Linked DNA regions of Daphnia pulex. The protein of the gene in region 1 purifies or fractionates together with the protein of each later gene. This does not show direct contact. Links are inferred from orthologs where the notes say so. Each region holds a gene or a part of one and is shown on either strand. Other genes may lie near its edges.

The links.
Region 2: the proteins of protein ECT2-like (region 1) and NAD-dependent protein deacetylase sirtuin-1-like purify together in Homo sapiens (affinity purification with mass spectrometry; 3 studies listed by BioGRID). This does not show direct contact. The link is inferred for Daphnia pulex from reciprocal best matches to the Homo sapiens genes ECT2 and SIRT1.

What each region holds. Positions count from the first base shown.
Region 1 is NC_060024.1:8,172,858-8,177,358, reverse strand, and holds the start of protein ECT2-like, read right to left. Parts: upstream 2,808-4,501; 5' UTR 2,613-2,807; coding exon 2,501-2,612; intron 2,436-2,500; coding exon 2,368-2,435; intron 2,310-2,367; coding exon 2,046-2,309; intron 1,976-2,045; coding exon 1,763-1,975; intron 1,702-1,762; coding exon 1,555-1,701; intron 1,497-1,554; coding exon 1,362-1,496; intron 1,304-1,361; coding exon 1,153-1,303; intron 1,085-1,152; coding exon 861-1,084; intron 799-860; coding exon 610-798; intron 545-609; coding exon 176-544; intron 76-175; coding exon 1-75. UniProt on the Homo sapiens protein: Guanine nucleotide exchange factor (GEF) that catalyzes the exchange of GDP for GTP. Promotes guanine nucleotide exchange on the Rho family members of small GTPases, like RHOA, RHOC, RAC1 and CDC42.
Region 2 is NC_060021.1:10,714,496-10,719,106, forward strand, and holds the start of NAD-dependent protein deacetylase sirtuin-1-like, read right to left. Parts: upstream 2,944-4,611; 5' UTR 2,858-2,943; coding exon 2,755-2,857; intron 2,422-2,754; coding exon 2,298-2,421; intron 2,225-2,297; coding exon 1,963-2,224; intron 1,903-1,962; coding exon 1,780-1,902; intron 1,716-1,779; coding exon 1,522-1,715; intron 1,464-1,521; coding exon 1,045-1,463; intron 975-1,044; coding exon 857-974; intron 793-856; coding exon 521-792; intron 457-520; coding exon 266-456; 3' UTR 1-265. Other genes in the region: neuropeptide FF receptor 2-like, read left to right, coding at 3,709-3,981, 4,043-4,073, 4,137-4,315, 4,400-4,543. UniProt on the Homo sapiens protein: NAD-dependent protein deacetylase that links transcriptional regulation directly to intracellular energetics and participates in the coordination of several separated cellular functions such as cell cycle, response to DNA damage, metabolism, apoptosis and autophagy.

The DNA.
Region 1 (4,501 bases):
ACCAACAATACCATCGCCCAATTCAATAACGTCGCATTGGGATACAAAGCTACGATGGGAAGAAACAATATGTGCCTAAATTTCAATTTGAAATAATGTAAAAATGAGTTGAAATTTAACATCTATTTTAATTAAAAGAAAAATTATTTAAATGACAAAATTTAACGAAGCTTACAGGACAGTTTTCGATGTCGTTGAAAATGTCAAAAAGGACAACTTGACCCTCAGTCCTCCGTTTGTCTTCATTGATGTGCGTCATTACTTCTTTGATCGTGGACAGAGCTTTCTCCAGTTCACCGTAATCCGGATTGCTTTTTGGGGTCTGCTTGAGTAAATCGTTCAAAAGCAAACTAATGGATGGTAGTCGTTGAACAGGACGAATAAGAAGCTCTTGTAGGCTCTGCCGTCGACATTTGGGATTACTCTGACCCAGTTTAAGGAATGCGTGGAAACGTGGCTTCGATCGGTCGCTCATGCTCAACACTTCTTTGGTTTGCTCAAAAAAGTTGACAAAAGGAGGGTAGGCCTTAACCAAGTCATGCGACTACAAAAGTAAAATATACAGTTATGTAAACGAATATGCTGGGTATGCGAAAATTCTTTACTTACATGCTTCAAAATTAAAGCTCCGACGCTGATGTCTTCTCTCCAGTTGAGTGCGGTATTTTTAAGTTGCACAAGTAACTCGAAATGGATTTCATGGATAGGCGGTAGATTGCCAAAAATGATTTTGACCTCCGTGGGATCAAGCAAAGAGCCTCCAACTTGGCTAGGATCCTCAAGTGGCTTTTTGAACACCTAGGGATGAAATGTTGAATTTATATATTGTGGTAAATAACGCGCAATAAATAACACCAAACCTCAACAATTGTCTCCAGTATTTCCACATAATTCATTTCCGTATGCAACAATTCCATGAACACCTGATGTCGAGGGGACATTGCTTTGAGATCCTGTGGTGTAGGAACGGAAATGGTGAGATCACCTTGACCCCCCACTTTCTCGGGACTCGTGGCATCTAGAAACGATCCACTTAGGCTGAGTAAGCCAGATTCACTAATCGAGGAACGGCGGCGATGAGTGTCTATGAATAAACAACATTTTCGTTAGTCATTAAAAGGGGGAAAAACTCCAAGCAATAAACATTTGTACCATGACCAGACGATGGAACTTGAAGTAAGCCAGGCGATCCTCCTTGAGCAGCAAGTTGAGACACTGTGTCTCTCAAGCGTTTACGCTTGCGGTTTCGAGATCCTGGAGTTGTGGGTGACAATACCCCATTCCTTGGGCTCGTCAAATGAGTCTGTAAAAATCCCGGGTTTTTAGAAGCGTTGAGTAAACAAAAGAATATCAATTATTACCTCTTTATAAGGATAAAGTTTTTCACTGGCACAAATATCCATTTGAATTGAAACCCAAAACCATTTAACTTCAACCAACATAGCTTTACTGGGTAGCTTCTCTGGAATGTTTCCAACTCCAAGGGGGTCTATTACCTATTAAAAGGATTTCGTAAAATTCCACCATTGTAAATCTTATTGACATGAAACTTACCACATGCGTGCAGTTAGGATCATCCAATGTAGTTACAGATCCTCCGTTGGTAGTCAAAATTTCGTTCATTTGAGTAACCTCCTCGTCATTAATACCTATCCAGCAAACATTGGTGCCCTCAAAAATCTTGAGTGCGTTGTTCGTTTGCTGCAAAACGGAAAATATTTGATGTGGTAAATAAATTTCAATAATGACAATGAAATAATACCATTGTGGAGTCAATGGCACGAACACTTAGATCGTGACGTTTTTCCCACGCTAAGTGGACCCACGAAGCACTCATAACTGGAATATTGAATGTGACTGCATACTGATATTTCTCTCCTCCAACTTTATTGGCAATAAGGTGGGTGATTTTGTTACAGTCAAATTCCTTTCGAATGCTGCCACCCATGTGATGGATACAAGAGACCAGTGTGTTCTAGTGATGGTAAAACATTATTCCAATTGTTAAATGATTGGAAAATTGCATTTCTTTTAAAGCAACTCACCACTTCCTCTCGATTTCTAAAGCCAGTGAAGCAGGATACTACATTCTCCATTGAAATAGAAAACAATGGCCGATCAAGTTCAGGCATAAAATACTTCTTAGAAACTATGTCAAGCAAAGCTGAGTAGCCCAGAATCCTGCATTCCTTCTTGTACAGAACCTCAAACACTTCATCGGAAAACTCATACAGAACAAACACTGTGTCATGCTGAGGGTTAACAAATTCAAGACCATCTTCTGAATGGAATACTGGTACTCCAAAACTCTAGAAAGTACATTTTTACAAATAACAACTTTGACATTTTAAATGTATAAAAACTTACTTCGGCAGCTTCTTGAACCCCTTTCACATCACACACTCTTCCCACTAAACATATCTTGGATGTAATAACTGAAATATTTACAAAAATATTTAATAGAAGTGACAGTTCTACATGATAGTAAAAATTTTTATACCTGGATGAGAATCCTCTTTATTCCTGCGAGATTTCTTGGACGGGGTTTGTAGAGTAAGGTAATTCATAGAAGCAGACACTGAACCAGACATGTCATACGTTGTCTCCATCATTTTGATTTAAAATAAAATCCACGGGTTGTAACGTTTGAAAATCAAACTCCCAAAATTTTTCTCAACCGTATAACAAACAAGACTGGAGCTCACAATCGAATTTCAAAAAACAATAAGTAGGCGAGCCATTTCTTCGAGTTTATTGTGCAACTGTAAACCACACTGGACTGCCTTGCATAAATGAAAAAGCCGAAATTTCAAATTTCATACAGCGTTGCCAGACAGTTTGCCCGTGTTTATACGAAAATTTTCCATTATCCTACCGCGACTCCGCGACCGTTATAAACACCATCACATCAATGCATACGTGTGTGTTGGTATGCACCTGCGGTAGAGGATCCTTTCTTTATCTCGGTGCTCACCAAACCCTAAGATGATGACAAACACTTTCAGTTTGCACACCTGGTGACTCGCCTGTTGAGGCATATACTTTAATTCCATTATTTTACCTGCTATTTTTAATACTTTAATTTTTTATAATTTAATTTTTAATAATTTCAATCGATTTTCAGAGTTTTCTGTTATAAACTTAAAATGAACAGGCTACACGTTAATCAATTTTAATTATTAATTCAAATTTTCTATAAATTAAAATAATATTTGGAGTCCAAATTTCACCTAATCTAAATAATGTCTTTCGTTCCAGGTTCTGAAAATATTGTATTATCAAACACAAAAAATTTTTATTTCGAGTTCTAATGTTCTAATGTCTCAACATTTTGAAAACAATTCAAAATATTTTTAAAATATTATTTTGAGCCCAATGTCAGGTCATAGATAAAGACGACTGGTTGATTGTCTCCTATCCTTTTAGCCCTATCCCTACTGACCCCGAGTTCTTGGAGTGCTTGTAGTGCCTCTAGCGGATAAAGTACTGTACTGTACCGAGGCTACGAAGGGTTTTGCAGACGAAGATTGTTTTCCTTCTGTCTTGGTAAAATTCTTGGCTGGCGTTTAAAAGTCCTAGGTAATTTTGTCATAACATTTTTATTAAGAAGTCACATTGTATTTAATTTTGACGTTTTTCAATGGCAAAAGCAGAGAAATCAATTAATTCATTGCAATTGAATAGAATTAAGCAGAGTGTAGAGATGCAAACGTACACTAGACACTAGAGGGCAGGACAAGTAGTCCAAGATCGGAGAAATCGGAGGAAGGGTACACGATTTATGGCAACAGTTGGCCATGTTAATTCTCTTATGGAGAGAGTCAACCAGTGGTCTTTATCTGTGGTCAGGTATAGGGCTGTTCGACTTGTTTTTTTTACAATTGTTACCATCGCCGCAACGCAGCATTTTAGTCAAGATGATGTCTGCTACAATTGTCCGCCCCACCTTGTCTGACCAATTGACGTAGGTCACATGATGTCAGATTTTGTCTGACAAAGCCAGAGAGCCCGCGAACAAAACGATCAAAACCTTTAACGAGAAAGTTTTAATAGTTTGAGCGATTCGTCTAAATGAGGAAAGATGGGAAATGGCCGTCTGTCGAATGTTTGTGGGGGCGTTCGGGAGTTATAGCCTCCCAAAGAGGCGAAATTTTGAAGAAAAATCAAAACTTTTTACGATGAAAAAAATTAACACCAAAAAAAGAGCGTGAAAAACTTTATCAAATGGTATGCAGTCAGACGTTAAAATCCGGGGAGAAATAGGGAACAGGACGCAGGTGGGTAAAGTTTTTCCCACACCTGCCAGTACTTTTTCCAAATGGCAACACCGCCTCCTAACCGCGAAATTTAAAAATCCTCATATTCTGTGGGAATTTTTAGTCTTTAATCCCGAAGTAAGATTCGTCTGCTTTCCTCTGCTCTCTCTAAGGAGAGTTGTATGCAGGGGATGGGAGATAATGGGGACATACAGCCAACGAAGGTCTTATTATTGTTATTATTG
Region 2 (4,611 bases), on another chromosome or scaffold:
CTGCAGGTGCAATAGATAATGGCCATTATTTCTTGAAGATTGGTGAGGTAGATTGCACTGAACATTTCAGAACAGCTTGCCAAGATTTCACAGAAAAATGAAAATTCCACTTCCCCTTATCCATAATACAGGAAAAAAAAGAAATACTAAATACCATCGAGAGATTTCGTCTATATACACACGCTTGAAGCTTTTAAATAGAATCCATATTGTTAACATAACAATGGTAAAAACAGAAGCTTTGTCGTTGCTTCGGAATACGTCGTCAATCCATCGCTTTCCTTTTTACTCCATGCTCCGGGAAAGGTTGAGTTGAATCTCCTCCATCAATTCCAGACGAATCGCTGGAATCAGAGGATGAGTCAGAATCGGACTCTACCTCTTCGTCTGGGTCATAGAAGAGTTCAGCACCAGGAAACAGGTATCGACCAGGTTGGACGGTGAGATAAGTGTTTTCTGAATTTTATGCAAGGAAATGCATATAGATGACATAGACAACAACCGAACAAAAATAAATTACCTGGGAGTTGATCGGCAAGATTCACTTTGATTCGCGGCTCCCACCATCCGGTCATGTCATGAGTAACTGGTTCAACATCACCAGACTCGGCTGATTCCATTTCTAAGCTTCCTGTAGACATCCCACTGTCCCGGCGTAAAGGATCGTCTTGATCTCTTTTGGGGAAAATGGGTGCAGGTACGGCGACAGAAGGAGTGGGGCGTGGTGGTAGGCGACTGATCTCTGTTAGAGGTTCGCGGTAACAAATGTCATCTTTCCATTGTGTACCCAGTCTGATTGTTACAAGAAGATTGATGAGACAACAAATTTGGCTGATGAAAATTACTGTATACTAACAAATGACACAGTTGGTTGACGATAATATCGCAGTCCCCAAGCAGTTCAACATCAAAGACCATGTGGCGGAGAGGTTCGCGATTGATAAGAATTTGCGGAACATGATTCGGTAGGGCGCCTATTTGAATCAAGAGAAACTTATTGCATATGAACTTTAAGGTTACAAGATGACATTTAAAATAACTTACATGGGATGAGTGCGACAGGGCGGACTTTGAGCGATGACCCAATCACGATTATCAGGTCACATTCTTCTTTATCGAGTACCATAGCGCGGTGAAATTCGTCTGGCATTCCTTCTCCAAAGAAAACAATGTCAGGCTTCATGATCGGCTGGGCCGATAATGCCACCGACGACGATGTACTGGCCTCGTCTTCATTTTTCGACACATCCGAGCATTTCGGACAAAGTGGAATGCGTTGTTCCATTATGTCTTTTTCTATCTCGTTCGAGGGGACGCGATGTTGGCAGCGCAGGCAAGTGGCAGTAGCAAACGAGCCATGACATTGGATAACCCTTTCGATATCTGCTTGTTGTTCTAGTGTATCTATGTTTTGCGTGTAGTTGCGCAAAAGCTTGTTTTGTTTCTCTAGCAAACGAATGAACCTAAACAAAATATCGTTTCATTAGCGAAATTTCAAAATTGTCAAGAGAATTTGTTTACTTGTGGCATTTAGAAGGTGTAAACTGTCCTGGCCAAAGGTCTCGGGCGAATTTAAAGAACGGTCGGGGATCTTTTCGGAAGTAATGGATATCAAACATAGCTTGAGGATCGGGCAAGTCAGGGAAGTCGACGGCTAAGCGAGCGTAAATTCCATCACGGCTACGAAAGTCGGGAATACCACAGGAAACAGAAACCTAAACAAAATTTGTTCAAATATAATGAGGTAAATTATTTTATAAAAAAAAAAAAAAAAATTACCCCTGCTCCTGTAAGAACTAGAATCTTTTTACAGCTACGGAGTAATCTGACGGCATCGGATATTGCATTTATGTGGCGTAAACGTTCCCGCCTTGGAGGTTCACTGACAATATTCACGATTATCTGTTTTATTCAATAATTATGATTAGTTGCCTTGACAATGCTACAAATTTATAATTTTACCTTCCAAAGGGTGACATCGTCAAGATGGGTGGGGATTTGAGCATCATTTGGTACCAACTCATTCAGGATGGTTCGAGGATTGGTACCAAGAAGCATCTGTTGTTGCACCCAAGACATCGTCCCTGATGATGGCTCCCAGTCATGATTGCTCAAGTCACTCAACCCACTTATGTCTGAAACATCACTATCTGAGGAGGTATCATCATCTTTCTCCAAATTGCCCATTGAATCATCAGCATCTTGAATGGCTGGCAAAGCATAGCTACAAATAAATAAATAATAAAGTTAGACCATATGTTTGTACACAATAAAAAGAAGACATTAGTCCACATTACCTGGTAGATGGTAAATCATTAGTGAGATTTTCATCCTCGCTGCTGGCTAAAGACGTTAACTCGCTGAAGCCTGAATCCCCAGCGTTGAACATTTCACAGCTTCCTAGTTGTCCTGCATCATTTGCTGAAATTTAAAAAAAAAAAAAAAATATTTCAAGTAAGCTCACAATGGATCAACTCTACAGCCATCAAGAAATTTCAACTCAAGAAACCAAAACAGTATTTGACAAGTGTCATCACACTGTTATGACATTCAAACATGCCGCCCCAAAATTTTGGCAACGCAGCAATCGACCAAAAAGAAGGGCGTCTCCCCTCCCCCCCCCCCATCCGCCAATGGCCGCACTAACGAAGCAAAAGGCCATTTACCTCAAAACCGAATGCAATCTTTTGCTAACAATTTTGATTAGGTTCACAAGTACATTAAATGAATGAAATCGATCAAACGGGTACTTACAAAGCTGTTGGCCCTCAATAAAGGACTGTGAGATGTCAATCGGCAGCAAAGTTCTGCTTCGTTTTACGGGACTGTGAAAGTTCTCGCCTTGTTCGTCGGCCATTGCTTCGTCTTCCGTCGATCGTGGGGTAGAGGGCGCTTCTTCTTCTTCACAAATTTCGGGCCGCCAGGTGGCAGGTCAGCGTTGCCAGTATGAATCGAATTCGTCCCGAAACCGGAAGAAAATATGCGCAAGGACATGTATACATGAAATAGGAAGGGAATTAATTCAAGGCCTTTCCTTGTCGAGCTTTTATATCAACCTTAGTCCACTTTCCGCACGTTGCGGTTCAGATAAGGCATTGTGATTTTCGCATAAGGAGGAAAGCTGCTGATTATAATTTTTTTTTTAATAGGAGGTTTATCAGAAATGCAGTATCACCAAATTAAACTGAGAAAAAAATTAGTTCAAGATGTACTAAACATCACGAATGAGGTTACGCGATATCGGGAAAATAATTCACGTATGGCATTTGTACTAGAGAAGCGACCCCGAGGTTTGACTGACTTATAATATTCGTGGACCATAAAACCAAATCGCATAGGGGTGAGCCGGCCCGCGGTGCGTTATACCCCCAAAAGTTGTAAAACATGGTCTAGCGATTTGACGAACTTAATTAAATCTGATAGGCATAGCACACGGGGCCGCCCGATATGGCCGCTCTTGTTTGAAAGCGTGCGTCACAACAATTGCGCTGAGTGTGTGTGAGGATTATTAGTGCTGCGGGATCCGGTAAGTACTTGACTCCAGTCGAGAACGATCAGGCTTGATAAACAACAGCAGAGCTCAGTTGCTGGATTTACCTTCCGACAAGCAAGGAATTACTACTTTTTTCAATGTAAGTGAATTCATTGTTTTCCCACACGTAATAACCGAACTCAAGTCGTTCGTGCGAATTTCAGACTTTCACAGGAATGGATTTTTCAAACGTCAACTTCCCATTTCCTTTGTGGATTGTCCGTCCCACCTGGGAGTGCGCCTTGAAAATCGGATTCTTCGTTCCTGTCATTATCATCAGTCTGCTTGGAAACGGTTTGGTGGTTTACCTCATGGCCACCAATCGATTTTTGCGCACTTCCATCAACATCTTCATTTGGAATTTGGCCATCGCCGATCTTTTAACTATCCTACTCATCCCGTGGATAATTTTAATCATCGATCTCTACCAGATGTTCATTCTCGGAGAGGTTTCAAAACCAGTCAGTTTTATTATCAAATAATTATAATTTCCATTACATTTTTGGGAAGGTTATTTGTCGAACCGAGGGATTTTTAAGAGGTAATTCAAAGCTTCATTTTAAAAAAAAAACTGGCAAGTAATTCATATATTTCAAATCAAAAGTGATGCTGATGTTGGTGGACGTCTTCAGCTTGCTGGCCGTAAGCTTTGATCGTTTCTTTGCCATCGCATTTCCATTCCGCCCGCGGATGGGCCAATCGGCAGCCTACATTATTTGCGGAGTCATCTGGATCCTTTCAGCGGCCATCGCCTCTCCACTCATCGCAGCCCGCGTCTATAAAGTACGACCAAGAAGCATTTTAAATTGATCAGAATTATTTAGGGTGTTATATCATCTGCCGCCGCCAATTTGACTCAACACACAGGAACGACAATGGAAGGATATATTGGAGTCCTGGTGCATCGACAACACTTCCTTCTCTTTCGTGTACTACATCTCCCTCGACGCTATTCTCGTCTGGTTTCCCCTCATCGTCATGACTGTTCTATTCATTTTCATCTTCATTATTGTATGTAATCAGCTTCTTTTACATCCTCTTGATTGGTTAAAACGGCAGCAGGTTTCAAATACGTTTAC